Astyanax mexicanus: one gene and its partner. The protein of the gene in region 1 binds, or shares a complex with, the protein of each later gene. Links are inferred from orthologs where the notes say so. Each region holds a gene or a part of one and is shown in the gene's direction. Other genes may lie near its edges. The genes, in order: rpl8 and riox1.

What was found.
Region 2: the proteins of rpl8 (region 1) and riox1 are in contact, whole or in part, in a crystal structure (PDB 4CCN), measured with the Homo sapiens proteins. The link is inferred for Astyanax mexicanus from reciprocal best matches to the Homo sapiens genes RPL8 and RIOX1. Residues at the interface, in NP_000964.1 of Homo sapiens: Gly213, Gly214, Asn215, His216, Gln217, His218, Ile219, Lys221, Pro222; in NP_078920.2 of Homo sapiens: Gly259, Gln260, Arg272, Thr274, Arg297, Met322, Ala323, Gly324, Ser325, Asn326, Tyr328, Phe337, His340, Asp342, Ile344, Ser374, Asn376, Thr419, Ser421, Thr422, Gln424, Tyr577.

The regions. Positions count from the first base shown.
Region 1 is NC_064418.1:5,900,546-5,916,673, forward strand, and holds rpl8 (60S ribosomal protein L8), read left to right. Parts: upstream 1-6,113; 5' UTR 6,114-6,234; intron 6,235-7,605; 5' UTR 7,606-7,614; coding exon 7,615-7,752; intron 7,753-8,225; coding exon 8,226-8,367; intron 8,368-8,488; coding exon 8,489-8,707; intron 8,708-9,714; coding exon 9,715-9,830; intron 9,831-9,939; coding exon 9,940-10,098; 3' UTR 10,099-10,132; downstream 10,133-16,128. Other genes in the region: ddx3xa (DEAD-box helicase 3 X-linked a), read right to left, coding at 2,913-2,957; usp9 (probable ubiquitin carboxyl-terminal hydrolase FAF-X), read right to left, coding at 12,176-12,313, 13,521-13,616, 14,994-15,101, 15,746-15,958, 16,095-16,128. UniProt on the Homo sapiens protein: Component of the large ribosomal subunit. The ribosome is a large ribonucleoprotein complex responsible for the synthesis of proteins in the cell.
Region 2 is NC_064408.1:84,756,992-84,773,119, forward strand, and holds the start of riox1 (ribosomal oxygenase 1), read left to right. Parts: upstream 1-8,279; coding exon 8,280-8,453; intron 8,454-9,552; coding exon 9,553-9,690; intron 9,691-9,772; coding exon 9,773-9,927; intron 9,928-10,918; coding exon 10,919-11,018; intron 11,019-11,602; coding exon 11,603-11,716; intron 11,717-14,751; coding exon 14,752-14,858; intron 14,859-14,967; coding exon 14,968-15,075; intron 15,076-16,024; coding exon 16,025-16,059; intron 16,060-16,128. UniProt on the Homo sapiens protein: Oxygenase that can act as both a histone lysine demethylase and a ribosomal histidine hydroxylase. Specifically demethylates 'Lys-4' (H3K4me) and 'Lys-36' (H3K36me) of histone H3, thereby playing a central role in histone code.

The DNA.
Region 1 (16,128 bases):
ACCTATAATTTAGGTGTAAGGCTTCTCTGCTGTTTGCATATATAAAAGAATCACACGCCATCATTAACCTTAGGCAAAAGCATGACCCTCACCGACACCAAAACCTGCCTGAATCACATGTGACTGCTAGCCTTTTTGTCAACAAATGATGCAACACAGGTTGTTGGAACTAGGGGTCTGTCATATTGCATATTACACAAATCTGACACACTAACATTGTTTTGTTTTTTTTCTTGAAAACCAATTTTGCATTTGTTTTGAAAGGTAATGTGAGGCTTTTATGTATTTTGTATGATTTCTAATGTTTGCAGTTAATTGCACACACTACGTATTCTGCAATTTAGTATTTCGATAGGCTTTTTGTATCTTTTGGCAAGATACTGTTGTTTACTAAACAGACAAATGTTTCTGATTACAGACAATTTGAGGTTTTGTTTCTGATGGATGTTGCAGCAGTAATAGATAAAAAATCAAATATCGTGCATTGGAAGTGCGTTGCACAGAAGAACGTTTTAGGCTACAATTACACCACTGTTTCAAATTGTCTTCTTGTAAACACAAAATACACTACTTTTAAAAATATTTTTACTAGCAGAAACTCTCCTTTCAGATATCAGCTATATCTACAATTCATATTTTGACTGGTGATAATATTTTTAGAGGCTACAGCAGTAAGCAATACAACATGGTCATTATTTTACTGGTAAAAGATGTGGTTACATATGACTATATGACTAGTCATTAATGCATTAATTGCATTAGGGATGTGTCATCTTGGTAATGTGACTAGTCTGAGCAGCTTTATGGATCTGAAGACAAACTACATAACTACTGACATAACTAGCAAATACATAAAAAGAAAAGAAAAAAAAAGAAAAAAGAAACTCAAAAAGTCAATTACATTGATCTAATTACATAGTATTATTTGAGTTTATATTAACTATAGTAAAAGCTGACTTGACTAGTATTGCTTGTGTGATTTTTTACAGCTGGATAATCCAGGTCCAGTAAGTAAATATCCATTTCAGGGTTTCCATATTTTGTTCCAACTGCCCGCGCGCCCTGCTGAAGTCTGGTCTCGTGTCCAGGTAATTGAAACAAAATCCTGGGGTGGATTTTCACTTCTGGACCTGGATTATCCAGCCCTAGTGATTTTATGCTGAAACGGCCTGCCATACTGTTGGGCATACACTGTGCACTGCTTGTGATCTGACTGGTGCTGAGTGAATAACACTGTAAACGATTAGCTAGAAACACTGCATTCAACATCAGATTAAATATGCACGGATAGATCATAAAATCATTAAATATGCCTTAATTCCTTGCAGGTTGCACAGTGTAATAATAATCAGGCGAACAAAATGTCCGACGAACGGTGGTGGTGGTAGTGGTAGTGGTGGTGACAAGATGTTGTTGGGGGAGGGGGTGAACTCAGTAGCTGCCTGTCGCACTGATCCTATTCCAGCTCCTCTCTAACCCTGATCACCACAGATCTGTTATGACAGCTTACTAACGAAATACTGCAGTGACTGCAGAGACAAAAACACATCTTCCAGCTCACAACAAAGTTAACCCAGCAACCCAGCATTCAGCAACTCCTGGCTAAAGAAACCAGGTTAGCTCGATTTTCTGAGCAGATATCTAGGTTAAATACGCTTATCTAGCTAACGACAGGTTAGATAAACTACACAAGGCTTATGTTAATTGTCAGAATTAAATTTAGTTAACTAACGCTAGCCTATCTAAACCATCTGCACAAGAAACATGACACTGCCTCCCGGTGTTTTGTCGAGTCGTGCTATCTATTGATATGAGCTACTTAGCAGCTCTACGCATGCGCACACCCATATTTATTTATGTTGTGTGATATTTCACTTTTATTTGAATTAATTTTACAGTTTGTGTAATTCTGCCTGTTGTCAACTAGCATTGGCTTGATTTGCGTTAAAACAAATGGCAATTCAAACTAAAATATTTAATAGTTAGGTTATCAAGCTAGTGATGAATTATGTTATCCAAATAGGTTAGCTTATCTAATGAAAATTGTTTTAGCTAGATAAACAGATAAGACACATACATAGATAAGATACTTTATTGATCCCGAAGGAAATTAAAGCAACTAGTAGCTTAACCCTCTATTGCATGAACAGTATATTTAGGAAGGAAACAAAATAGCACCACTATTTGGAATTTTTTTTATATTAACCACCCCTGCTTTATATTGTTGTCCCTTACAAACGTGATCTACGTGGTTAATGTTAAAAGAACGTAAGAATATTGTAAGAATATAAACAAACAGAAATATCATAACATACATCAAAAATAAGGTATGGGATGGGGTGGTGTAATAATATCATGCCATAGAGCGTTAAAAAACACAATTAAACTAGATAGTTAGGTTAGTATTTAGCTAACTAAATAGATAACAGCTACCATCAAGGAACGAATACACAGGAATGGTTGGATATGAGTTGATATATGCACATATAGCTATAAAGGGTAGCTATAAAACTATGATACAATCTAGAACAGTGCAGTAGGTTAGCTAACATAGATGGTGCAGTCAGTCATTAAACAATAAACACCTTTTATATAGCTATAACTACAACTATAGCTGGGAGAATCTGACACGATGCTGATGTTGAAATATCATAGCTAAGTAGGTTAACTAGCTAACTACCTAACGTTACTGTTTGTTTTGTTTTTAGGCAGATTTACCTAACGTTAAATGGTTAGGTTATATAGCTAACTTCACTATGTTATGGTCGCACGTTTTGACAGAGTAGCACAATTTGACAGAACACCGACAAGGCTGCAGACAGCCGATAGAGAATCCTGCTGAAATAAAGTGCAAAATTAGCGAGTAACTGAATAATCTACAGCCGCTACACGACGTTCATGACCCCGCTTACCTGCTGATCTAGACCGTGTGAGCTGTCGACGACCACATGACTCATAACTAAAGAAAATGAGTGGGGATTTCTCCTTCTGACACAAGACTTTCTTTGTTAGCAGGTCAGCTAACCTAAAGATAGCGCAGGGATTACAGCCAAGTCTCCTTTAGAAACGACGTCACTCGTCCTCTTCTCTTCGTTTATTCCACAACGAATGCGCAAAAACCGAGCCCAGCGCCTTTACTCAATTCCTCTAATACGAATTTATTACGTACAGCCTCGGTTATCAATAATAACGACGGTTATAATAATAAAACCCGAGCCCGAAGTTTATCGGCGCGGCAGGTTTTTAACTGTAACCGGCTCGTTTGTCCACCAGCGGCGCCTCGCGACGTTCTGTTCTCGGAACACAAGCACCGCGAGATTTCATTGGCTGCTGCAGCAGCACACGGATATATAGAAATATCGCGAGAGGAACTCTACCCAGCAACAGAGCTGTGTGAGAGCTGTGTAAACAGAAATACTAATTAAAGTGGCAGTACATATTATTTTGTTTCTAAACTAAAAGCAGAAGCATTTCTGAGTGTAGAAGGGACAAAATATTGTGTTTAAATGTACCAGTGTGTTGGAACGACCATCCCTGCTAAGCCTAATATATTCATTCTAAAAACGGTGGTGTTGGGTCGCTTTTTGCGGTTTTTGAGTTCTTCTGGCACAGTCACTCCACTCATCTTTACGTCTTACGTCACATGTTCAGCCTCTAAAAGAGGATCCGGCTCAGTTTTACTGAACGCGAGCGGCTGGTGGAGCAATGGAGACTTCAGAAGGGGAAACCCAGAGCTCAGTAGCTTGTTCATTTACACTGACAAAACTAACATCCATATATAAAACTGTAACTCTCTTACATCTTCTGAAGACACTTCCCTCAGCATTTTCTGACTGAACATAACCTGGAATCGGATTCATTCACTCTGAAAGGAGACAGCATCACACCCACTCAGTTTAAAATGATTCTTCCGCATGCTCGGTGCAATTACGCATTCTCACCAGAGAGGGCACTAAATCCCCCAAATCCCAAAACTTACAGACTTCAGCTTTAAATACAGTTTAATAATATACAACTTTATATATATTTTAAACACAATCCCTATACACACACAGCACGAGGAGCTGCTGTACTTATTATGATTACTAACAGTGATATTTCATCATATCCACACTTAGATTAATAACAAGATTCCTGAAGGATATACAGCTCTGGACAAAAAAATAAGAGACCACTTCATTTTCTGAACCAGTTTCTCTGATTTTGTTATTTATTGGTATATGTTTAAGTAAAATGAGCATGTATTGTTTGTTTTATATTCTTATAGCTTGTACCATGTTCTTATAGTGTATAAATATGTATTAAATAATACAAAAATAATTATATACAGTACCTTCTCATTTAATCTTTTTATTTTTTTCCCTATAAAGTGATCCAGACTATAAAGAAAAAATATATTTTTAAATCTAATGGGTTTTGCATAGAGAGACCAAACACAGGTTGAAAAAATGAAAACAGATGAATTTGGTAAATCATAATCCAGCAGTGCCCTCTACTGTCCAGTCTTTACACTACACTACACTGTTTCAATGCCATCCCAGCCCACTGAGAATATATATATATATATATATATATATATATATATATATATATATATATATATATATATATATATATATTAAGACTTTAAGACTTTAGAGATATTTTTAAAGTTACAATAAAACAAATGTTTGCATTTTCATATACTTTAACTTGAACGTCAGATCACTCTACATTTAAAAATATATATAATCTTAACTTGAAGTTAAGATTCTTAATTTAAATAATAATTTGATTAGAAACAGAAACATAATATCTGCACAAAAACTATTCCTTTTGTGTCCATAAAATGTGAAAACTGTGATTTCTGTCATTATAAAAAATGCCTTGCAACCGACACAGTCTCACTTGAATGACGTGATGTTATGAAGGTCTCTGTATCTGATTCAAAAGGAAACCGTACATTCTGGTGCTGCCAAGGTTTAACTGTGTTTTCATTCACAGTTAGAATTTCACCCAAAAAAAAATGGAAGGCCAGATTACAGTTGTTTTACAGTGGCTTCCTGTCTCAAAATCCTGTCTGCGTAGGCAGCATTACACTAGGGAGTGTTCATCAGCTTTTAGTAAAAATCTGAGGCGGAATGACATCTTTAACAGAAAATACTTTTTATTGGTACTTTTGGCAGTGTGGGCAGTGTGCCAAGTCCTGCTGGAAGCAGAGGAAAGCATGAAGTGCTGTAAAACACTGCACTGACTTTCGACTTAATATAATACAGTGGATCAACACTAGCAGATGACATGTCTCTCCAAACAATCACTGATCATCAGTAAATGTTGCATTTTATTTGGAAATAAAGGGAGCAGAGTCTGGAGCAAGAGCGGAGAGACACACAGTCCAAGCTGCTTGAGGTTTAGGGTGAAGTTTTCACAATCAGTGATGGTTTGGAGAGACATGTCATCTGCTGGTGTTGATCCACTGTGTTTTATTATCAAGTCTAAAGTCAGTGCAGTGTTTTTTCTGGAAAATCTTACAGCACTTCATGCTTCCCTTTGCTGACAATCTTTATGCAGGTGTGGATTTTATTTTTCAGCAGGACTTGGCACACTGCCCACACTGTCAAAAGTACGATTGGTCTTATATAATATTCAAATTTTCTGAGATACTGATTTTTGGGTTTTCATTGGCTGTAAGCCATAATCATCAACAACAAAAGAAATAAACACTTAAAATAGATCGTGTGTGTAACACATTGAGATTAATATATAGAGAGTTTAACATTTTAAACTACTTACAAGGTTATTCCTGTTACAGAGTTGGGATGCGTTGTAGTGTTAGGAGTCTAGCCCAAGGACTTTTATTGATGTAGTAAAGCATTGTCACCCAGACCGGGAATTGAACTTCAGTCTCTCATATGATGTGGTAGCTCATAAGCAGGCGGTGGTGTTATCCACTGTGCCACACCAACCACACTGAATTACAGAAATAAAGTAGATTTTTAATGATATTCTATTTTTTAAGATGCACTGGTGCAAGCTCAGTGGAGCTGTAAAGTGGATGGTGCATGTGAAGAAGAAGGAGGAGGTGGAGAGATTAAACCCCCTCTCAGGTGGAGGTGGTGTATGTGTATATATATGAGGGAGGCCGCTGAGAGGCGCTGTGGTCACTCCTCCTCCTCCTCTTTCTTTTTCTCTTCGTCTCCGGAAGAAATTCTCTCTCTCCCCGCTGCGCTTCCTTTTCCCCTCAGCGGAGTTTAGGTAAGAGCGCTGTTTTTCTGTCTCTCCGCTTCATCTGCGTTAAATCACTTCTTTATTTTAGCCATCCGCTCCTAAAATCACCTTTTAAACGTTAAGGAGACGTTTATACCCCAGTTCACCCTCTTATGTCTTTTAATATCGGTGTGATTTTGAGTTAAATTCAGTGTTTTTAAGGGCTGAGTTGTTCTGCAGTGTAGACGCGGCAAGGCCTCGCTGTGAGGCGCTTAGTAGTGATATAGAGAGACCGGTGTTAGTGTTAGTATTTGTATCGTTGTTAGAGTTGTTTTCAGTTAATTTAGGTGTTTATTTAGCCTTGTGCTTTTTTAGTAATGGAGCACAGGCTGTGTAAATTAAACTAGAACCGTGTAGAGCCCAGTGTTAAGCTTGTATGTAAGTTAGGTCTATAGCAGGTTATAGCTAGGCTAACTGAGCTGGCTGAGGAGCTAATGTTAATGTTGGCTGCCCTTATGTCTTTACTGGATGATGGCCTTCAATTCCTGATGTATTTACTGTAATATAAAGTCTATATACTCTTTTATATTGCTCTTTGCTTAGTGTGTGACCAAACATACATTATAATAGTCATGGTTAGATGTATGGAGCTAGGCTAACCAATGTGAGACTTCAGAATTCAGTCAACTTAGCTACTTAGCTTGAGTTAGCTGCATTAAATATATTTATCTTTTATGTAATTAATTACCGTGTATATATAACAGTTACTGTTTATACACATAGTATATAGTGAGAGAGATGTGTATATGTATAAATTATTGTTTATACGCAGTCTGTCACAGAACTTAAATTACAGTTTAAGTTAGATGCATGGAGCTTGACTACCAGTGTGTTTCCTGAATTCAGTTACTTAGCTAGCTGTATTAAATAAATATATATTAAATATAGTCAGGAGTATTTGTTTACAGACAGTAGGCTTATATGTTTCACTAAATATTATACCGTTAATAGATAAAACTCCAAATAAGCATATAGCTAGGTTTTTAGAATAAAATGACCAGAAGCACTTCTGGGATTGTTAATCCAAAAGAGCCCATAGTGACCTGTATCACAGACCCTTTTAAATGCAGTTGTCATTTGTCACAACAGCGTTTTAACCTTGAAAATATCAAGTCATGCCTAAAATAAATTAAAAAAAAACCCACAAATGAGCCGATTCAATTCATAATTTGGCATCAATATTTTAAAATGGATCTAGGCTCTTCTGGGTTAATTTAGTTCCTACCTGTTGTTCACACATGCCAATAGGAGCCCTTGAGCAAAACATATCGGTCTCTTTCTGTATAGCACTGAATAGTTTAAGATTGCCATCCGAATGCCATTAACTCAAACATCTGACCTCTCCTTTTCCCCCTGCAGAACCCGAAAATGGGACGTGTGATCAGGGCTCAGAGGAAAGGTGCGGGCTCCGTCTTCAAAGCCCACGTCAAGCTCAGGAAAGGTGCCGCTAAGCTCAGACACATTGACTTTGCTGAGCGCCATGGCTACATTAAGGGAATTGTGAAGGTAAGAATGGATGTAAATGTGTGCAAATGAGTAATTTCATTGTTACTGGCCTTTGTCTGGCTTGTAGTACAGGATTTTCTAGATCTTGACCGATGTTAAAATGTAAAAACTGCATGCTGTTAGATCAGGCGCACTCAGTTTCATCAACAGCGTTTGCTTTCTCACCAGAAAAAGAGAGGGGTATTGATTAAAAAATGGCTGAAATGTAGTGAACAGTGCTAATAATTTCTGCCATGTAAGTGGGGTTGAATAACTGCTCTGGGAGAAGATTGGAGGGCTGAAGAAACCACATACTACAGGATAATTAGGAAAGATTGTAGTTTTCAATCACTGAAAAAATGGAGGAAAAAAAACTTGTGGTTGTCAGGAAGAAAAAAATAATTGTAGTTGTCCTGTATTGTTGGCCAGACATTAGTAGTTTTAAGCCTAAACAAACCCCCTAAGTGTTTTATTGTTTCATTTTTTTAATACAGGACATCATTCACGACCCTGGCCGTGGAGCCCCCTTGGCCAAGGTGGTGTTCCGTGACCCCTACAGGTTCAAGAAAAGGACTGAATTGTTCATTGCAGCTGAGGGCATCCACACTGGACAGTTCATCTTCTGCGGCAAGAGAGGTAAAACGGTGCTCCCCAGTTTTCTGTATGTTTCATTCGCAATCACTTTGTATATTGTATGTTACATGTTGCTTGTAAGCAGAGAAGTTAGTAAAATTAAATTCTTCTGAATGACCTACAGCCCAGCTGAACATTGGCAATGTAATGCCTGTCGGCAACATGCCTGAGGGTACCATTGTGTGCTGTCTGGAAGAGAAGCCTGGAGACAGGGGTAAGCTGGCCCGCGCATCCGGAAACTACGCCACGGTCATCTCCCACAACCCAGAGACCAAGAAATCCAGAGTCAAGCTCCCCTCTGGATCCAAGAAAGTCGTCTCCTCAGCTAACAGAGCTGTTGTCGGTGAGTAGTTTGGAAAGGTTTTGGAAGGCATGGTTACGTACTTCAGTCTTGGTTAATGACCGTGTTTATAACTAGGGTTAGCTTGGACATATAGGCTTGACTTTAAGGAGCTCAGATGTGCTAAATCATTGAGAATTATTACTATTGTTTGGACATCTGTGTTCATTTGCACTATTGGGCCTCAGTAAAAAGGGGCATTTTGAATGGTATCAGGAGAAAGTCAGATCTAGCAACATTTTTTTTGTTGTTTCAGATGCTATCAGGAAAGGGTCAAATAAGGTCCAATCAGAAATGTCTGAATCTCACAGCTGAAATATTAGCAATGGATATCATCGCTGTCCAATGGAGAACGAGTATCTCCATCTTTTCAAATTTGTTTACTAATTTGAACAGACAAACTGTACTTCAAAATGAGCTGGGAAAAACACTTTTTACATTGACTTGGCTTGAAAGTTTTTTTTTTCCTCTCTCATATAAATTTGCTGTTCTGCAGATGCTTGTTTTTTATTGGACAGCGTCGATATGCCCTTTATAAGTGTGGATTTAGAGCAGCCTTATGTTCCTTATATGATTTTAAGGTTTGCTGTACTGTGATGGATAAACCACATTGTTGAAGTAGAAATGAAGCACCCAAGTAACATTTTATCTGCATCTGGAAATATATATGAAAGTTTGTCATCGGCTGTCTTGTAGAGAATAGATCAAGGTAGTAAAATTAAACAGGACAAAAATACTAAAATAATCGTTTACACAGTTAATCATTTGTAATAATTAGTTTGACCGTTGGGTTAATCCTGTTTTAGTATGAATTTGAGATTTTGGTAGGAAGATCATTGCAGCACATGCTGTTCTACTGATCTATTGAACTTGAATCAGGTGCACATAACACTGCAACAACATTGGCACTTTACAAACTTAAAGTACCAGTGCTGGGTTGTGAGATGGAGTTTAAACCAGTTCTAAAGTATACAGGAGGATAAACATTCACTGTTCTGTGTGCTCAACAGGTATTGTTGCTGGTGGTGGTCGTATCGACAAACCCATACTGAAGGCAGGACGTGCCTACCACAAGTACAAGGTCAAGAGAAACTGCTGGCCTCGTGTCCGTGGTGTGGCTATGAATGTAAGTATTTGGTTGGTTTTAATGAGGAAAAGAGAAAAAACAAAAACTTTTTTTTTCTGCACTAATGTACTAACTGGCCTGTTTTTCCCCCCCCCCCTCACCCCTACAGCCTGTTGAGCATCCCTTCGGTGGTGGTAACCATCAGCACATTGGCAAACCCTCAACTATCAGGAGGGACGCGCCCGCTGGACGCAAGGTCGGTCTCATCGCTGCTCGTCGTACTGGCAGACTGCGTGGAACAAAGACCGTCCAGGACAAAGAAAACTAAAGTGTCTCTTCATAATAAAATATCCATCAAAAGACTACCTTGTTTAGTTTTCTTTTCTAAAACTCAAATTCTGAAGTTCTGAGTGGGTATTTTAGTTTTTTTACTGGAGGATTTCCACAAGTCTTGAGTGTAAATCAAGTGCATGGAAAGATGTCCAAGTTTCTGACAGTGGACAATTGTCAAAAGGGGAAAATATGTCATGCTTTAGAAAATTGCACTAGTGCAGCTAAATTCACTGGTTCTTGATCTTGCTTAAAGCAGAAAAGGTGCACACTGCAAATGTTTGCTGTGGTTTCCACCAGTACTTGTAAATACTTAAGCAGACTTTTAAGGAGACACACCACATTCAAGATTCAATTTCTTTATTCTTGAAGGGCGCAATGCTGTCTGTAGTATCTGTGCACAAAAAAAACTCACAAAGTGAAAGTTAACATCGCGACTGTGGCTCCAGAATTTGTCACCATGGCCAAAACAGAAGTCGGCGCAAAAAAACAAATACAGGGCGAAAAACTCTGTACAGTCAATATCTTTAAAAATAACACAAGGACAAAAATGTTCCTCTTAAATCAAATTCTATTTTTCTTTTAGTGAAATACAACAAAATAAATTCTATAAAATAAAACAGCAAAATATTTAAATATAATATGGTGGGCAGAACAGTTTCATTTGCAGGAGTATTTGGTATTTTTTTAACAATCGAAGAGAAAAAAAAAAAAGCATTCAAGTTACCAATTACATACAGTATTGACTGCTGTTTACCTTTACTCCTAGAGAATAGTACTTTACCTAGCTCAAGTTGCCACACGACTAACCAGCAGTTATATTATGGTACAACCGTGCTTTTTATGTCCATTCCGCTCCAATGAAGAGAGTCCCCAGACCAGACGGAGCCTATGTTCAAGTAGAATAAGCAAATGTGAACAGACAGCATCTGCTGTCAACTTTAGTGGCCAATGTCAATCTTTTTCTTTCTATTTATTTTAATTCCAGTTTGTCTAAAACAAGGTTCAACCAAGGAGAGACAAACAAGCAAATTGAGTACAGTCCACTAATGCTCCAGGCATCCCGGCATAGCAAATTTTTGCATATACATTTTCTCTTTCTAAAATTCCTATAAATTCCAAAACAAAAAAAAGTAACCATCTATTCCCACCAAAAACTGACTGCCAAATGTTAAGTTTGAGAATATATATGTGCAATTGAGAAGCCACTTAATTCCTACATTGGTTTAAAAATCAATGTAGAAGTCTTAGATGAGGGAGGGGGGAGGCTCTTTAATAGCTGTGGATTCAGAACTGCAGCTGTTATGATCCCAATTTTCCCTTTTGGCTACACTAGTCCGGTGTGAAGCCATGCTAAAAATGTTACAGCATATTAACTAGAGCTGTCAAATGATTGAATTAATACCAGAACAAAAGAAAGGCAATGTAAGTTTCCAAAACATTGGTGTGTCACCATTTTCACATCAGCCTAGCATCAGGAGGATCACCCATCCCATCCCCTCCAATCCCATCCATTCCATCCTTATCATGCCTACAACTACAACCATCTCTAGCTCCAGAGGCGGATTAGATTAAGTAAGAGTTGACGTGGATAAAATGACTTAGAGCTGAATGACCAAAATGGCCAAAAGGCAGACCACACCTCACAACTGAGTACAGGTGATAAAACAGGGTTGGATTTTTCTTTTTTTGTCTTTTACTTTTTGTCTTTTTTTTTTTTGGTTTGTTTTTATAGTTTTCAATTTTGCTTTCATAAATCCGCAAGTTTCCAAACAGCAGGTGCTGATGGTTCTGAACAGTCAAAAAAAAAAAAAACATTAATATGTACATCGCTGTCATAATAGACAAGTGCATCAGGCCTGGCTTATTACAACACCATACACAGTCCACTGCAGGCGGGTTATAGTACTGCAGGGCAGACAGTGAATGCTCCACCCCAGGGTCAGAAGAACAGGGAGCGGAGTTTTCCGGATACGCGGGTTCTGGAGTGACGCTGCATGGTGGGGCCTGGCCTCGCTCGTCGATCGGTCGACTCCAGAGAACGCTCGGGTGGAGGACAGGGTCGAAGCGCGGTGCTATTCTTTTGTCTGGGCGGGTGGAACCTCCTCCGTGGGCTCCCAGTTCTCTTGTGCTCGTACGCCGGGGCGCTGAGGATTGTTCATATGCTGTGCTGCTGGGCCTGTGTACGGCTGGCCGTGTGGAAGGTTGTTCTGCTGGAAAAGGCAAATACCAGATCAAACTCACTTTAAAATCAGCTTTTCTATTAAGGACCACATAAACCCAAAAACATTTCCCCCTTACCCCATGTCCAACATTTGTTTAATAAGTTTTTAATGAAGTGATAAAGTTTGTGTAGCTACCAAGCAATTATGTAACTATGATTTTTATAATACCATACATAAATTCGATGTTCGAATTTATTAAATACGAACATCCAAAAACAGACTAAACACGAAAAAAAATAAATAAATAAAGGCAACTGACCAAAAAAAAACCTAAAATGAGGCATTGCATCTCTAAATAGACCATTGCATTCATAATCATTTTTGTTTTAGCTGGAGCCATGTTGCTTTTGTCCATATTTGGCATTTTCGATGTCTAAGAGGAATTTCTCTATGGGCAGAATGTGGATCTGGGGTACTACAGTCCTGCTTGTTTCAGCATTTCCCTGCTGTAACACACCCAGCTCACCTCATTGAGGGCTTGTTCATTGATTGGTTGAATTAGTTGTACTATAAATAAACAATAAAACCAGTAAAAAAAAAAAAAAAGGTCCCTCCAGCAGGTATTGCTCACTATCTCTTCTTATTTGACTTTTCAACATCTGAATTTGAATACTCATTTGACTACTTTAATAATCCTCTGTGAATAAGAATAATAATCCAATACTCAATATGACAGGAATTTGCTGGGTGCTACATCTATAAAAGTCTGCTGGTGTTTTGTGTCACTGTTTCATACTGTCAGATCAGTGTGATGTAGCATTAGCGTAATTATAGCTTTATTGTAAAAACATCTCAATAAATCTCGTATTTCAGAGGATCCAGTGATATTCAGGAGAATACTGTACCACACAGAATGTGGTAGAGGTGATTTTTTGAAAAGCCCATTCATTCTGCTCATTGAGTTTAGACACAGAACACCAAATATGGGGACTACAAAATGATGTATGACTGCAGCGGTCTATGGGATTTAGATCTGTAAAAATCTGAATTTATATATATATATTTTTTTTTACTGTCCAGGCTATCAAAAAATCAATCTGGATACAATGCATGTATGCCTAATATCGGATCTAGGCTGACAGTTTGAAAATAGCCTTTAGTGGTGTCTCAAAGTGTGAACTAACTTTCTGACCATAGGGGGAGCCCTAGAGCAAGCCAGCTTGTATTATGGGCAAGAGAAAAAAAAAAGTGTTACCTGCTGATACTGGGTCCCTGGAGAGTGAGGATAGAGGGAGGTATCCTCTGGTGGAGAAGATTCCTGATCATCAGGGGCATCTTGATCATCCTGCTCCTGAAAGAACAATAGCTTGTCAATAAAAAAAACTTCAGCACAAGAGAGCATTTTAGAAAGATATGTTTAAGACTTAGTTCTAGAAGGCGTGTGCCTGTGTGTGTGTATGAGGACATGTAAAAAAAGAGCTTGGCAAAAAATACTCTTCAAAATATATATTTAAATGCATCACTGTCACACAAAAAAATGCCTATACTGACTTTTTGAAGGCATGTTAATCTGGCAGTTGTGCTTTATTATTATTGGTCCATTTATTATCATGGTACAATTTATGCTCCAGTGACTTGGAATTAGGGGTGTGCCATATCGAATCGTGCCCAAAATTATTGCCATTTTAGAATATTGCCAACAATATTATACCTCTAATTATCAATTCAGGGTACTCCTTTTTTTTTTTTTTTTTGCAAAAGAAAAAAATCACACTGTTCATTTCCCATTATAAATCTACTAGAGATAGATTCTATCTGTCCAGTATTATTCATGGAATAAAATATTTTTACAATGACTTCCATTGAAAATACAAGTTTTTTTTTGTGTGACAGCAACAATACGTATATTATTTGACTAAATTTTACACAAAAAAACTTTTCTGGACTTTTAAAACTTTTCTCTGGCATTAGATGAACATGTTTAAGTATATTTGGGTTTAACATTAAAACACTAGACTTCCAAATAGAACCAACGCTACTATTAAACAGCTAAATCACATGGAACCAATGGTAAACAAGAAGACATAAAGAGGGTATAATATACACAACACACACACAAACACCACACTGGACGATAAAGTTAACAGGACTTGTTCAACATGACAAGCGATGTTAAGTTTAAGGTAACATGGCAAAAAAACAGAAAAGAGCTGGCTAAAATTTAACAAGTCACTTCTCTCTGCATGCAGTATGAATTATGTTCAGTATTTAATACTGATCTATGTGCAAAAAAAGTCATAAAGCAAATCTGATTTGTAACACTAAAGCTTTTATCAAGCTTATTTAGTCATCATGCAATTTTGGGTAAGTGTGTGTCCGGTTAATTAAAGGTTAGACATCAGAACAAATAAACGTTCAAAACAAAAATAGCACTGGAACACACACACTTTTAACAGGTTTTAACAGGACAGTCACCAAATACACTATAGCCAAGGCTTAGAGTTTTCGATCACTTTGCGTGTGACACATTAAGACTTGGAGTCAGGAAGGAAGAAACAGTTTGAGTTCAAAAAACATTGAGATGAGGACAAGAGATTAACAGTTATTTAGAGAGCTGTGTTTTCTGCTTGCTAGAGGGAGAAGGTAATGGATTTGGCTACACCATGCCCTGTGAACACCAAGAGGTTACGCAGATGGCACCAGTGTGGCCGGGGCATACGAATCTTACAGTGTGCTGCTGCTGGCCTGTCACTTCCCCTGGCAAAAGCTGCTGTGGCGAGGACGGCTTCCGGCCTGCGTCCTCTTCAGACACCACCTCGTGCTTCATTAAGTGACACTAGTTTGAAATGGCAGTTAATAATGCATACTGTACACTGTACAAGTGTCAAAACGATGTCAAAAGTGGCTCTATGCTTGGAAACATGGAACATTGTCAAACGGCCATTTATTAAGCTACGCTAAAAAAAAGGCCGAAGCATACTTGGTTTAGCAAATCAAAGAAATTAAGCTTTTTTAAAAAATTAAACAAACAGTAATGAAATACACAGTAAATAAAACTACTCATTTACATAAACGCCAACAGCAAAATATCTACACTTTGACTGGGAAAAGAAAAATCTGGAAATTAAAATTGTCGAAAACTCAAAGCCCTATCTATAGTAAATAAATACAGCACTAGCATTTTGCAATCAAATTAATTTAAAAATGTTAAATGTACAATTAATGCATTCCTCTCTTCATAAACAGAATATTATCTAAGGCACGTCTCTATTATAAAATTTCGTATCTAAATACTTCAACATAAATTTCTCAATAACAAACAATTTTTTTTTTGGAAAACAGTTAAAACAAATGATGTTCTAATGGTTACGAGCTAGTAAGCTAGTTACTACAAGCTTCCAATATTAAATCTACTTTTAAAATGTAATCAAATGTACTGTTACATGATTTATTTCAGTGAAAGAATTGGGGTTTCCATACCTCCTCTGGGCACAGCTCGCAGGCCTTGGCTAAGGTCATGCGGGCACTATGGGAGCGCTCGAGGAAGTATCCGTTGGAAGTCTCGTTGCTCTGGACAGGAGGGGACCAGTTGTTATATGTGTACTGAGCATTACCAGTGTATGGCCTGCGCTCTAGTTCATCACCAAGCCATTCTACTGCCCAGGTCCACTTCCTTTTCAAGTCCCCATTACTCTATAAACACAAAACAACAGACGGGTACGGTGATGAGGATGTGATCACAATAATCAATATATCAATATATCAATTTAGTCACTGTGCAGCCTTGAATTATAGCTTATACTAACTAATAACTAATACTTTGTTTTACCTGAAGGATCTGATAAGCTACTGAGCAGTTGCTG
Region 2 (16,128 bases), on another chromosome or scaffold:
ACTTTCAACTAGTTTCACTAAAGTAGTTTAGCTTCCTTCCCTGAACTAGCTGAACCTGATGTAGCTTAGCTTCCCAAATGAATCTGCTTAACCCGAGGCAGCTTCACTGTGAAGCCATATCATCTACAGCTGCTTCTTTGAACAGGTTTTACCTGAGGCAGTTTAGATGCTTCTCTAGTCCTGCTTTCCCTCAGAGACCATAGCTGGTTTTCTCTGAATCCACTGCATCTGAGGCAGCTCATTACAGTAAAATGGATGCAGAAAATAATAGTTGTGTTAATGGGAAATTACCAATCACCAGAGATAGAGATCATTTATTTTTACATGATAATAATGGCCAGCAGCACAACAACTGTTTCTAGTTCATTTACTATAGGCTGCAACAGTACATGAGTTTGTTCATTTAGAATGTTTCCTCTGTGATTTGTTTACAAAAAAAAAAAAAACAGAGCTTTATCTCTGGTTTTTGGTCAGACCTGTCTGGGGCTAAAGCAGGAAAGTAAATACAGAAATATAGTCCTTGGTTAAATGGTTCAAAACTAGGTTTACTTGTAAAAAAAAAAAAATAATAATAATTAATTGGATCACGCTCCCACAAAAATGAACTGGGCCCAGTTTTCCAAAAGCATCTAAGGGGTTGTCCCAAATAAATGAGTCTACACACAGGATTGATTTTGGGATCATGTCAATAAATGTCAACATATCGCCTCTGCTAAAACAGAGAGTTTTCTGAAATTTTTATTTTCTTAGCTACTGCAGACAATGGAGGTTGAGGAACCGTTTCATATGCAGCATACATAAACAACTCAAAGACCTATTGTGTTTCACAAAGAACAAAAAAAAAAAGTGTTTTTAGCAAGACACATTGAAAATAAGATGCATCTCTTGTGGGTCCAAGGGGGGTTGTTGTGGTCCACACCAGAATATTAATAACGCATTTATGATTTAACCCAAAGGTGAACCAGCAAACCAGTTTAACAAGTTCAGGTGAGAAAACATCCTAATAATCCACTCTAAAATCCACTGTAGTTTGTTTTCATATGGATGGAGAAACAAAGAACAAGTGTCCACTCAGATATCTGGCTAAAGCAAATTGCTGTGGCCAGAGGCACAAGATAACAGAATCTCCATCCCTTCTCTAAAAAAACAACAACAACAAAAACAATCACAATTGTAACGGCTTCAATACATTTAAAAATATTTGTCCCCACAACAGTGACTAACTATGATCTATTTCACCCACACCCATCACTCTATGTAGCTCAACCATATCAATGCTAAACTGTCCATCCCACGTTTGGCAGCACCAGACAGACTCTGGATCAGTAGGATCGCTGTGGAATGCTATGGCATTCACATGCTCGTCCAAAAGCGCCCATCCAAATGAGTCAAATCCACCATGTGTTATCTACTCATAGCAGCCCGGGCTGGCTCCTAAAGGCCCTTTCCCAGCCCTGGCCAAGCTCGTCAATTCCTCACCCGCTGCCAACAGCTGCCAGCCCACTGCATGCCCGCGCAGCTCAACGCCGCGGGATTGTGGGACAGCAGCATGATTTCTTCCCCCGAGGGGAAAAGTGCATTCAAATGCTGTGGAGGAACAACAGTCCTGCCCCGCATAACGAGGGACGCAGCTGGTGGGGCGCAAACATGCCGAACAGCAGCAGGAATGAATATGAAATACAGCTTCCACCAACTCTCACAAATCTCCACAAGCACAGTCAGTCCAGAGACAACCGTGCACTAAAGAGAACTTCTGTGTAATGCAGAAGTTGAGATGTGAACAGTTCATCAGAGTTTTAGTGTTACTGAGACATAGGTTTTCACAATAAACACATCTAAAGAGCTGCAATAACTTTGTGAACGCCAGACTTAAAGCTGTATTATGTTCAGCAACACAAAGAGGCTGGAGGTAGAGTGAGGTAGAGGTCCACAGTGAACACACTCAGCAAACTACCCATCTTACCCTGGGGAAAAAAAACAAGTGCAGCCACCCCAATTACCAAAAAATCTTTTGAGAAGCTTAAACTAATTAAAAATCCAAATTTAATCAGGATTTTCAACAGCATTGTCGTACATTGCTTTTTTTCAGCCATAACATGCACCCCTGTTTGAAACGCTGATTTATAAAAACTCATTTATTGTAAAGAATCTGTTTAAAATCAAATCAATTTTACACACTGTAAGATCCAGGCCAGTCATGCTTAGTGCTGATTATTATGCTTACTGATGATTTGATCATAACCCACCTTAGAATGGTTGATATTTAATTTAGTGAGGTATATGTTTCCCTAGTTGCCTGCACAAAGGCAACCTTTTAATACTGATAAAACGTCTAAACAAGCACCATCAAATCACACTGATGTTCTTTTGGCCTGTAATAGGAAGAATACCATCTCTTTTATTGCTACTTTGGGCTGCTAGTTGCACTACCTGTATTAACTCTGTATTATTACTCTAACATTCAAGTCCACGTGAATCTTTTACTTTCTGTGATATATCCCTCAACTTCTTCAGAAATGCGGTGCAGTGCGTGCAAATTTCACTTCCTGACTGTATCAAGCTCTGGGGTTGTGCTGCACCACAGTAAACATTTCAGTTGTAAAGGGAAAAAAAGTTTTTTTTCGTAAAGGCCTCTACAGCAGGATAATGATTCTAAACTTAACTTTTAAAGGTCCAAACTTTTGTTTGGCAAAAGCTCTCACAGTCTTTCAAACTTTACATCCTCGGAAATCTGCTGACAGACCTCAAAACAGAAGTGCATACAAACAGCTAGAAGAACCTTACAGAATGAAGTGTTTAGTAGTGGAGAATTGGCAAAAACAAACAAACAGACAAACAAGAATTGAAAGACTCTTGGCTGCTATAAAAAGCATTTACAAGCTGTGATGCTTGCCAAATTGGGTGTTACTAATCACTGACCATGCAGGTTGCCCAATTCTTTGCTTCAGGCCAGTTTCCTTTTTGGTATTTTGAACTGTAAAATCTCAAAATATATATATTTGTTTTTGACCAGGAGTGGCCAAAGTCTCGAATGCCATTGATTATATTACCATATATGATGGCATGGTCTAGCATAATCTGACCATAACCGCAATGCTAAAAACAATGATAACACGTAATAAATTCACATTTTGCAAATTTACTGTCTACATTAGCATTTACAAGTAGAACTATCTATGATGATATAAGTTGGCATTAAGTTATCATTATAGCTTCAAACACATTCACAATGATCATCACATATATTAGTATTTTACAACATGAATATGCAATTTTAAAACAAATGTATGCATTAAGTATGCTATTAGTCTACATATCATTATCCAGTAGTATTAACAAGTAAATTGAGAATTTGTGCTTTTCCTAGTTTTGTGATGCAAAGACCAGCCCAGTTTCACTTTGCTGCCATCACATATGATGAGCATGTGTTTGGGAAGCAAAGAAAACAGAACGGGGGATGGGGGGCAGTTAGGAAGGGAAAAAAAGTGGCTTACGCAGTTTGGGATATTTAAAGCTGAAGTTTAAGCCTGAATAAATTCTTTCTCACACACACACTTCACAGCTCAGCCCCGTGCCAACACCACAAGAACCACCATTTATCTCACACAGACTCATCCTTGAGCACAGCTGACTTCAGCAGGGCATTTTTCAGAGGTTGGAATTTGTGCAGATGTCCTGCTTCCTCGTAGATAAATACTGTGCAATTATTCATCTGGTGCTATATAAAATGTTTCCGCCTACTGACATGAATATATGCGTCCGGTGTGCCGCAGCAGATGGACAGCCCCCGGTGATCAATGACTCCAGGAGCTGCGGTACAAAGAATCACTACAGCTCCTGCAGAACAATGAAACTTTTTTACTATGCGATCAATACAAAACCTGTGACTCCTTACCAAAACATAACAAATAAACACATATTTACAAATCACTGAAATCCTGCATCACAGAACACTGACATAAAAATTCCATGCATATTTCCAGGTCTGTGTCCAACTTCGTGTCAAATTTCCCACCCAGCTGACATGTGCCAACACATTTCAGTTGCTGTAAACAAGAGGGGCTGAACTAACAGATAAGGCGCAGTGATCTGGATGCGCCTTTAGGGATGAAGAGCACCTGAGAACTGTTGTCTTCTGCTCTCAACTCTAACATTTTAGCTGAGTTTGCATTCATTTAAAGAGTTTATAAATATAACACTAATTCTTAAAGCAACCTGGAATGCAGACTTTGAAAAGAACACTCAAACTAATTTTGTTAGAATACTCATACCAAGCTGCATTAAGTGCTGCCATAACAGTCAAAAAAAAAAAAAAAAAACAGGAAGCTCAGTCCAGACAACACTTAAATCTTACATCTGTTCAGTTAGCTAACTATCTAACTATCTAACTAACTAACTAACTCAAAATTTATATTACATTGAATGCTCATAAATTCTGAACAGGCGGCTCATATTTGTTACATAATATATACATTTAAAATGCTCAAATTGAGCAATTGTGAATTAATTAAGTTCTGAGCAAAATGCTCACAGTAAATAGAACCATTTTCTAAATGTTCAACAGAGCCACTTTAAACAAACACTCATTTCACAAATTAGGAAATTTCATACATTCAGACCCAAGAATGCATAAACAAATACTAATTTCCAACATAACATACACATGCTGGAAAATACGCAAAAATGTCTAATACAATAACAATATCACACTTTGCTAATTGCTAGAACTGTGCTTACAGTTCTTAAACTATATCTCAACACCAATGAAACAGAACTCTCCAATTCTCTGAAGAGCGTTCACACTTTAAGTAAATACGAATTCCACAAAAAGTCTCCTACCCACAACTCTAAATAAAGGACTAACTAACTACCTAGGTTAATTAGGTACACTTCTATTATTTGTTACAGCTTGGCACTCATTTTAAACAAATGTTATTATTCAAAGGACAGCTCTGGAAGAAAAAATAAGAGACCACTTTATGATTATGTTTTTCCTTGATTTTGCCAAATTGAAAACCTCTGGAAAATAATTAAGAGGAAGATGGATGATCACAAGCCATCAAACCAAGCTCGACTGTTTTGCACCAGGAGTGGCATAAAGTTATCCAAAAGCAGGCTGTAAGGCTGGTGGAGGAGAACATGCCAAGATGAATGAAAACTGATTAAAAACCAGGGTTATTCCACCAAATATTGATTTCTGGACTTTTAAAACTTTATGAATAGGATTTTTTTTTTTTGCATTATTTGAAGTCTGAAAGCTCTGCATCTTTTTTTGGTATTTCAGCTATTTCTCATTTTCTGCACATAAATGCTCTAAATAAGAATATTTCTATTTGGAATTTGTGAGAAATGTCCGTAGTTTATAGAATAAAACAACAATGTTCATTTTAGTCAACATATACCTATAAATAACAAAATCACAGTCTTCAGTAATTTTTCTAGAGCTGTATATGTAAAGATGTGTGAAGAGCTAAAACAATCAGATTTATTCAAAAACTGAACCTGTACTAATATTTGTGTACGGAATAGCTAATCATCTAGATAACTACCTAGCTAAAAACGCCTAGAGTACAAGACACGCAATACGCTAACAGCAGTGGAAGGCTACAGATGTGTGTAAAGATCTGAACCGAATTATTGGACTGTTCCTAAACACTCTAGTTAGTTAGTTTAATGTCTATACCTGAGCTACATCTGTCTCTGTGGGTCTGCTCTCCGGTCGCTGTGCGCAGGTTAGTTATAACCCGAGCTAAAGCTACAGGAACGTCAAATCCAGCCAGACGCCGCTTTAACGCGAAGCAGCATCGATTTAATTGGGTCTGTAGGATTAAAACACACTTCAGATTAAGTATTAATCTGTCTCGCGTTCTGATTTAAACCACAAAACAACTGAAACGACAGAAAATGGCGAGATAATGGTGATAAACTGGGTTGAATTCGGCTGTTTCTGAGAAATTTTCCGTTCCACCTTAAATGGTGCGGCACGTACGGTGAGGTGCCTCGGGCGCTTTGCTGTACGTGCCGCACCATTTAAGGTGGAACGGAACAATTGGAACAAGCAGACAACTTCAGCTTCGTTCACACAAGACCATATGCTGCGCTTTAACGCGCTCCTCCGGCTCGTGTTTGAGGGGTTTAAGGTTTTCTAGGATCTAAAACAACAGGCTAAACAATAACACAGAAGCAGCTAAGATAGCTTAGCCACCACTAGCCCAGCTAACCCCGTTAGCAGTGGAAGGAGGAGATGTGTGTGAGCTGCGTCTCTCTTACCCCGGTGTGTGAAGAAGGAGCTCCGCTGCAGCAGCAGCAGATCCACGTCTCCGCACAGATCCGCCGCAGATCACGGACCGTACAGACGACCCGGAGCACACACGAGCTGATTCACACCCAGCCCTTACACCTCCTCCAGCCGTGTAACCTCCCAGAGCTTCTCCCCGGACCCGCACAGCATTGTTAGATAGCTAGATCCAGCTCTGCAAACACTGCGAGCGGTGGTGCATGCTGGGAACGGCCACTGTTTGCATTGCTTGAGCATTACAGCATGGTGCACTAGCGCCACATGGTGGCCACGTGCCCGCACGCCTCCCCCTTCATAACGGAGGACCTCTAGAGAAAAGAATACACATTTAAAGGAGAATTTCAGTGTGAAATGGAAATGGGCTGTAGTAAAACATGATAACGAGTACGAACTTCATTCTCCTTCATTCTCCCCCAGCTTTCCAAAATACAGTGCTTTTAGCTGATGCACCTAACAGGCTTATAGTGCTAGTTTTTTGTAATTTTTATTTCTATTTTTTATTCCATTTTTTCCCAATTTACATGACCATTAGGACTCCCCTATCATGCCCGATGCCCACCAGGAGGGTGGAGATCAGCACATACCTCCTCCGATACATGTGAAGTCAGCCATCGCCGCTTTTCTAACTGCTTCTAATGCAGCATTGCTGAAAATCTAGCGCTCTCGGAGTGACTTAGTCCCAAAACATCAGCTTACAGACGCCTTGTGCCAACTGACATCACCCTTTGTAGTGATGTGCGGAGAGAGCGCCATCTACCCTCCCAGAGAGAGCAAGGCCAATTGTGCTCTCTCAGGGCTCCGGTAGCCAATGCTGCTGAAGCTCAGCCAATCATCTCTCCCTCCTACCCTGCCTCTAAACCTATACATCACCCAGTTTCTCGCTCAAACAACCTCTCCTTTTTCTTTTAGCATTTTTTAAATTTAGGCTGAGGTGAAGTCAGCAAAAGTCAGGGCCCCTTTAAACAGTTATAAGCCTTTTAAATGCACTGCAGTATATGGAGTATATGACAAAATAAATTAATAATAAATAAATAATGTTCTTCAAAAATCGTTTGCTGTAGAAAGTTATCTTTGGCTTTTGGTGATTATATCATTCTACTTTCTATAATTAAAGAAATATCCCAGGCAAAAGTTAATTATTGTTTTTAATTTGAGCTTTTAGCCATTCAGCTTCATTCATCCCCATTGAGGACTTACTCGCGGGCTCCCACTAGTGGTGTGCGGTAATTTTCTAAAATAACAGCTAGGGAGTGCGCAGGCTCTCCATGAACCAGCTCCAGTAGTAGCACTAACTGTACTAAAACACGATAGAGTGTATTTGTGCTTCTTTTTAAATGCTATGATTTAATAAAGTGGATATTATGGTTTTTTTTTAACATGGTGTTTTTACAGTACAGAATCTATAAGATAACATTGGAACATTATGTAGGGAAAAGGATGAAAGCCCCTTTTGTGCTCCACAGCAGCAGGCGGCAGTAACACATGCTCAGCTCATGCTCGGTTACACGGAGAGAGAGACACACCGCCTGGGTTGCCAGGTTTAGTACATCAATCCACGATACGGGTTGCTTTAATTTAAAGCTGTTTCTTTAACCCTTTTCAACCCATTCAACCCTGGTTGTGCAGACACATCTCCTCCTTGCACATTTTAGTGTTTTTCCGAGGGCATAACTGATATCGTATATCATATTGGATCATTGACATCTGGAGAAATCTTGTGAAAATTGTTTAATGTCGAAATATATGTGACAGAACAACAAAACATTGCAATATTGGCTTTTACAATATCATACAGCCATAATTTAAAATTATATATTAGAAATATATTTTAAAAGATGAATCACATACTAAGTAATTCACAATGGTGAAATGATCAAAGTACTCCTATAGTTAGTGTAGTAGTTAAAATATATGTTAAACTTTATTTTTGAAAATTGAATTAATTACACTATTTGTATTAAAAAATGTAGTTGATGACTAAATGACTGAAACCCTCAACGGGGAATTGGTAGCGGGATCTGGTAACCCAGCTCCGCTGAGCCCTGCCCTGCTGCTGTGCTGTGCTCGTGGTGTAGTGCTTTATGGCAGCGTGGAGAGAAGCATGTCTGCCTTCGCTTATTATCAGTCGTTGGCAAAGAGCTCAGCACAGACACAGGTACACCCTGATCTAACACTGTCATTTACAATATGAGCAGAGGGGGCTTTAAGGCGTTAAATACACCGTGTCTCCGTGTATAAAGGTGTGCTTGGGTTAGTCTGGTAACTTTAGCAAGAAATGTGACTCGATTAACTAATTAATATAAAGAGTTCTGAAAGTTAACGTTTCATCGATTTAAATAAGGAATAAGTACAGCACATGGACACACCTTCACAAAAACAGCCTGAATAGAAAAACAAAAGTAGCAGCTGAACCAGTGAGTTCTAACCTCTAGACCTGCAGAGGAACTTCATTACCAGTTACTCCAGCCAAGATTTGTTTTGTTCTTCACATTTTCTGTATTATTTTGCTGTAAAATAAAGCACTAAATCTCCGCAGTGATAAATGTAATCAACGAATAAAACAGAGAACAGTTATTTTTTAAAAACTTGTATTGTGTAATAAAAATCTAAAAGTCCCAAAGTAAATGGTGTGAGCTACAGCCAATCAGTTCAGGAGCTGGACCCACAAAACAGAACCAAAATATTTTTTAACCCAAAATATAAATTCTACTATGAAATGTGGGACAAGAGAGTAGAATATTTAAGTCTGACTGACTTGTAGCTATGTAACATTTCTCATACTACTGCATTGGTTGCTTTATTTATTTCATAGGATCTTTTAGTGATTGTAACACTAGTGCTTGTTTGTTAAGAGATTGATTGTGTTATTTTAATGTACATTACAGTTACTTTAAAACCCATAAAACATTAAATAACAACAACAACAAAAAAATTATGAATTAGAAAGTAATTAAGAGCTCAATATGATCGACTACAATTGGCATGAGAAGGAATTCAATTTCTTTCCACACTCATAAAATCCCAAAAGTATAATAATTTGTATTTTAATTATTTATTTATTTTTAAATATTTAAATATTTGCAGCTTTTTTTTACACAATAATAAAAATTCACCTTAGATAAAAATGGAGTGAATTAGGACAGTCTATTTAAATTACACTGGCTTTTGAGATTCTAACCCTGTGATATATAAACATACATTAACATTGTTTATCAGGAATTAGAAAACAACTGAATTTTACTTGATTTCTGCAGGTTTCTGCTGCAGAAGTGAAGAAGAAGAAGAAAAAGAGGAAAAACAATGATACAGAACCAGAAATGAAAGCCAAGAAAAAGATTAAAACTCTCAACAAAAAGGCAAAGGTGGAGGAGAATTCAGAAAAGGCTTCAGCTGTAAGTATTTGCAACTTCACACCATTTATAGCGTTTTGAAGCTTTTTGAATGCATTAAACTAATCACGCAATTGCGATGCAGGAGGAGCAGTGTCCGTTAAACGGACTTGGGCCAGTGAAGGCTGAGAGTCTTCACACAGTCCTTACCAATCTCAACAAAGTCAGCAACAGCAGAGAGAGAGCCAGCAGACTCTTCCAGTGGATAATCCATCCTCATCCGGCCAAAACCTTCTTCAGGTAAAACTGCACAACTGTTATGTAGCTTAACAGCAAAACAGCACTGAGAATGCAAACAGGAGGAGGGAGGCGTGGCTGAATGGAAGGGTGTGGCTGAATATGAAGCACATGTTTTGGTCTGAGATGTGATTGTGAATATTTTGGTCTAGAGGCTTAAATGATCAACTACACAACCTTTAAACTAGGGCTGGGCGATATTGTAAAAAGAAAATAATTTCCATCATTATGAGCGATTCTTGATTACGGTTTTTAGTTTTTCTTTTTTTTAAAGTGATGCGCAGGCTATTGTTTCATTTACATTTCATTTCAACATTTGTTTTTAATGTTGTAATGGATGTAATACTCTGTCAGTTATTGGATATTGAATAAGTTAAATTAGATTTGACGGATATGTTCTTATATAGTTAACTATATTACTTAAAAAGACTCTATTTGGATGGGAAACACAGGGAATTACATACAGTGCTCACAATAACTATTTTAAGACACTGCATTTTGCGACACAGAATTATGTGTTTATTGGCATTAATTTCACAGAATTTGACAACCAACATAAAGCAATGTACAACAAAGTGCCAAGCTTGGTTTGCTTATGTCTCTTTAATACAAATAAACTGACTGAACCTCTTTCACCTGTAGCGTTATTCCAGTGTTGTAAAATAGCCATAAACTGACGTGAATTAGAACATTTCTGCTGCAGTTAAAATGCGTAGAATTTACACAACTACACTACACCAAAATCTTTCAAACTGGGTAATATAAGCTTATAGGAAAAAAAGACATCAAACTATGATTACAAATACAAAATAACTAATATCTGTGTTTGACACTACATACCATATCAATAATGTATGGAACAAGAATGTTATACAGCATATATTGCTGTTTATGTATTGTCCCACCCCCAGTAGTCTCTGAAATGCTGATCCAGGCAGATTAGCACAGATTTTTTTTTACATGTTATGATTATTACATTCTTTTTTTTTTGTAGGGACTACTGGGAGAAAAAGCCACTTTTGATCAAACGACAGAACCAAGAGTATTACCAGGGACTTTTCTCAACAGCGGAGTTTGACAAAATTTTGAGAAATGTAAGTATGTCTGTGTAATCAAATACAAACATGTTAACTAGTCTTTCCAAATTAAGTAGCTTTAATGGAAATTCCTAAATGAAATGTTCACATATACACTAATTTCTGCAGTTTAAATCCAGCCATTCAGTTATTTTTGTTTTGTTCAGTATAACACTGTTCAGTTTCCCTGATAGGGATTAAGCCTAGTCTTGGTTACACAGCATTATGAATGTAGATTTTCCCTTGAAAGGAAAATGTAGTCTATGACTAGACTTGATCCCTCTCTGAAAAACTGATTTTTAATGTGCATGCATATATAGAAAAGTTTATATGAACAACTACATTTAAACCTGAATGCTGTGCTGCATTGCACTGTCCATGTTTTTAAAAAGTCATTTTTTTGTATGCTGCATATTCTTTCATTTAACAAAGTATCAAATTGGAAAGACATTATGGTAAGGGTTTGATTCTGATCTGTTAGTTGGATTATTAATCTGCAATTAAATATAGCCTGTGTTTGTTAGCACTTCTTGAAACAGTAATAGTTTTTATGGTTAATTGTATAATGTGTGGTTCTATTAATCTTCTTCATGTTGACTCAGGATAATGTCCAGTTTGGGGTAAATCTAGATGTAACCAGCTACACAAATGGCAAAAGAGAGACACACAATCCTCCTGGGAGGGCCCTGCCATATACTGTGTGGGATTTTTATGAGGTATGTTACAGTTCTGATATATGAATCTCTTCTTTAATCATTGCCATTTGCCAGATTACTAAAATATGGATACCTTGACTTCTATACAAATTCCTGAAGTGGAATATTTCAAACTTTTTTTAAAATTAAACTTAATGTGTGAAAAAATTAATCTCTTTAGTAAATGGAAAACAATTAAAGATGCAGTGCTGTCGTTTTGTATTTATATTTGTATCTTTATATCTTATGCTGATTTTTTTAGACAGATTTTGGAAAAAGCATTTGCTCATTTGGTTCCGCTCTTTTAATATATATATTATATATATACAGGTGCTGGTCAACGAATTAGAATAATTTGAAATAGTGAAATCATGACATTTTTTGAATGCATTTTTTGTGCAGAAAGCAAATCAGGTGTTCACCGCACCTGTCCTACTCGTTAGACTAATCACAGAACTCGTTACCTGGAAAAAAATTTGCTCAGCTGAGCTTTCCAAAAGGCCCATTTAGGCCATTTAACTGTGACACTGTTGTTTTATTGAATTAGAATAATGGAGAAACCGTTTCATTGAATTAGAATAAATGCTCGAATTTTTGTTTTCTGTGAAGAGTGTTCACTGTGCAGTATAAAGTCAGGGTTGAGTAGAATTTCTAAGTTGTAAAATCAATCATGGGTAAGCAGCGTGACCTCTCAACCGGAATAGTGGCTCAAATTCAAGCCCTTCGCCAACAAGGCTTGACCCAAACTAAAATTGCTGAGCAGCTCGGCATCAGCCAGTCTTCCGTCTGCAAAGCTCTCAAGAAAAACTGCAGCAAGCGCACCAACTGTTCCGGCGTCCGAAAAACTTCTGCTCGCGACAACAAGCAGCTGAGAAAGATCGCAGTCAGCAACCGGTTCAAGTCCACTCCCGAGCTCACCGACTTGTGGAACAAGCAGACCGGCGCTGACGTCTCCAGATCAACCACTTACCGTCGTCTGCGCGAACTCGGCTTCAAATCTCGCGTTCCAGCAGTAAAACTGATGCTGAACAAGAAACAAATGGAGAAACGGCTGAAGTGGGCCAAAGAACACGGCGAGTGGACTGCTGAAGACTGGCAGAAAGTGGTCTTCAGTGACGAATCACGCTTCTGCATCTCCTTCGGTGACCAAGGTCCTCGTGTCTGGCGTCGTGGTGGCGAAACCTACAACCACGAGTGCGTGAAAAGATCCGTCAAGTTTCCCCAGAGCATTATGGACTGGGGATGCATGTCCGCTCGAGGTGTAGGGAAACTCTGCTTCCTCAAGAAGACCGTCAATGCTGCCGTATATCAAGATGTTCTGGAAACGTTCCTGATTCCGACTGTTGAGGAACAGTTCTGCGAAGAAGACTTCATATTTCAACAGGATCTTGCACCGGCTCATGCGGCAAAGTCGACCAAAGATTGGTTCACTAAAAAACAGCTTGAAGTTTTGGCATGGCCGGCCAACTCGCCTGACCTCAATGTCATTGAAAACCTTTTGGCCATCGTCAAGCGGAAAATTCGCGACAGAAAGCCTACTACGCTGGACCAACTGAAGCAGAACATCGCCACTGCCTGGGAAGCTGTGAGTGCGGAAACTTGCGACAAGCTGGTCAAATCGATGCCGCGGAGACTTCAGGCAGTCATACAAGCCAAGGGGGCAGCCACAAAATACTGAGAAAGTGATGATTGTAATTATAATAAAAATTATTCTAATTCAATGAAACGGTTTGTCCATTATTCTAATTCAATAAAACAACAGTGCCACAGTTAAATGGCCTAAATGGGCCTTTTGGAAAGCTCAGCTGAGCAAATTTTTTTCCAGGTAACGAGTTCTGTGATTAGTCTATCGAGTAGGACAGGTGCGGTGAACACCTGATTTGCTTTCTGCACAAAAAATGCATTCAAAAAATTTCATGATTGCACTATTTCAAATTATTCTAATTCGTTGACCAGCACCTGTATACTATACTATACTATATATATACTATATATATTATACTATATATATTACAGCTAAAAGATTTGGCAGAGGGAGAAGTGGGAGGTGCGGTGGGTGGGGTTTGAAAATTGTAAAACAAGTGAGCCAGTTTCATGTTTTGGGTCCGCCCCATCTTTTCTGAGTCTTTGTATTGTTGTTGCTCAATAAAGAAATTTTATATATATAAAAAAAAAGATTTGGCAGAATTTCTGGATACTTTGGATGTACACATACTCTACATTAGTGGGGTCTAAGTTTTTGTCTTGGGGTGTAAAGTTTTTGGATGGCTGGTGCCCAAAAACAGTACACTTGATTAGGCACCCCTGGTAATTTTCTGCCAAATAAAACATGCTCATGAGCCACAAAGTGGTCAAAAGTTGTTGTTTTTTTTGTCTTTTTAAATGAAGGGTGAAAAAATGATGTATCCTTCTTTTATCAGAGTGAGGGTTTGTTTACAGTCAGTGACACGTGTGCAAGTAAGGTCAGGATGTTGGATGATCACCACGCCACATCATCCTCAGCTCATCCCAGAAGTACTGGGTGAAGCTTCAACAGAGAACATTCCACTGCTCCACTGCTTCATAGCTCAGTGCTTCCAAACCTTATTTATATATTTTTACTGTATTTTCTGCATACTGAATAATAAGCGATGCTATTAGACTCCAGCAGCAGACCCCACAGACTCCTGAACAGAGCTGGAGCTGATTTTGATGTCAGCCTGAATTATAGATAATGATGACTTTTTTTGTATAAATGAAACCAGTCACGTCATCTTCCAGCTTTCGGTGATGCTAAGTGATTCTGACTCTGTCAGTCACTCAGTGTGCTGCACTCGTCAGCAGAAAGGCCACGGTCAAAACCAGCCCTGAAAGCGTCTAGGCTAACCTGTGTGTGTATGTCAGAAACTGAAATGCTAAACCCCCTACATGTCATTGCCTATAAAATAATACTCAGCTGTGTTTTCTTACAACAATCTCTCTGTAATATATTACATTTTAATAACAGTGTTGTTTTAAATATTAGCACATATCTAATGACAGTATTTAATGTGTGTGTTGTTCTGTTTTGTTCTCAGAGTGGCTGTTCTCTCAGGATGCTCAACCCTCAAGCCTTCTCTTCCACTGTATGGAATGTTCTGTCCATCCTGCAGGAAATGTTTGGCAGCATGGCAGGAGCCAACGTGTAAGAGAACTAATCTCATATGAGGGACATATATAGATGTTTTTTGTCTGTTTTTAAAAATCATATATCTGACTCACATTTTCATATTTTAAATATTAATTACTTGCAGATACCTGACTCCAGCAGGAACACAAGGCTTTGCTCCTCATTATGATGACATTGAAGCATTTATTGTGCAGTTAGAAGGGAAGAAGCACTGGAGAGTGTATAACCCACGGTGAGTCACAAGACACTCACAGGAGCAACTGTATATGTTTACCATATATTACCGTTTCGAAGCTGAAAGGAATTTTCCATTCTCATAATCCATACATTAAGAAAAACAGCAAAAACAGACAGATTTGAAAGTACTGTTTTGGAATTTTATCAAAATTGCAAAAAAATAAATTATTGTGTCAAAATTAATGATAACAATGTTTTGGTAGATAAACCAACACAAAGGTTATATGGTGACCTCAAAGAAAAAAACAAGTGCAAGAAAAATGTAGGAGATGGCCCACAAAAAGATACAGATGAATAAATAAGTGAATGAGCAGATGAAGACTGGATGTGCTGTTCTGATATCTCCATGGTCACAGTAGCTCTTGTATCAGCACCATAAGCACCACCATGGTTGCTCAGGTAACCAGCAAAATCAGTTCTATCCAGAAAAATGTCTTAGTACTTACCTGACTCCCTATTTATAAAATTAATATATATAGGGCTTTGCAGGAATAGTAGCTAAAGCACACTGATGCTATTTATTATAAAAATGTTGTCCCTTTCTCACGCAAACACTTTAAATGCTTTAAATTTGAAAGACAAAATCTTAAGGTTTAATGGTCTGCTGCTTTAAATGGATGTCACAGTTTATGTAAGTTATGCAAGGTGAAATAACTTCATTATGTATTAGAGCTTTAAGAAATGCAATAATATATATATATATTTTTGAAATAAAAGAAAAGCATCAGGCGCATCATTGAGAGATTGCTGGAGCTTGCAAAGATCTCTCTCTGAATAGGGAAGGATGGGACTTAGTGTGGTGCTAGTCAGAGCAGGTGTCTCTTAGCTGATGTAAAATAACTAGCAGTTAGTGCTCTCCTCCAAGTGTGATCAGCTGTTCAATGGCATTGTTTTAGTGGTATCTTAACTACTGGCTCCAAAACTGTCATTCTGCTGTATTGCAGGTCTGAAGATGAAACACTACCTCTCGTGTCAAGTCGTAAGTAGTTCTTCAGTTTTTACTATTATTTTTGGTAAAAATCTTTGTCAATCTTTAAGTAAAGTTTTA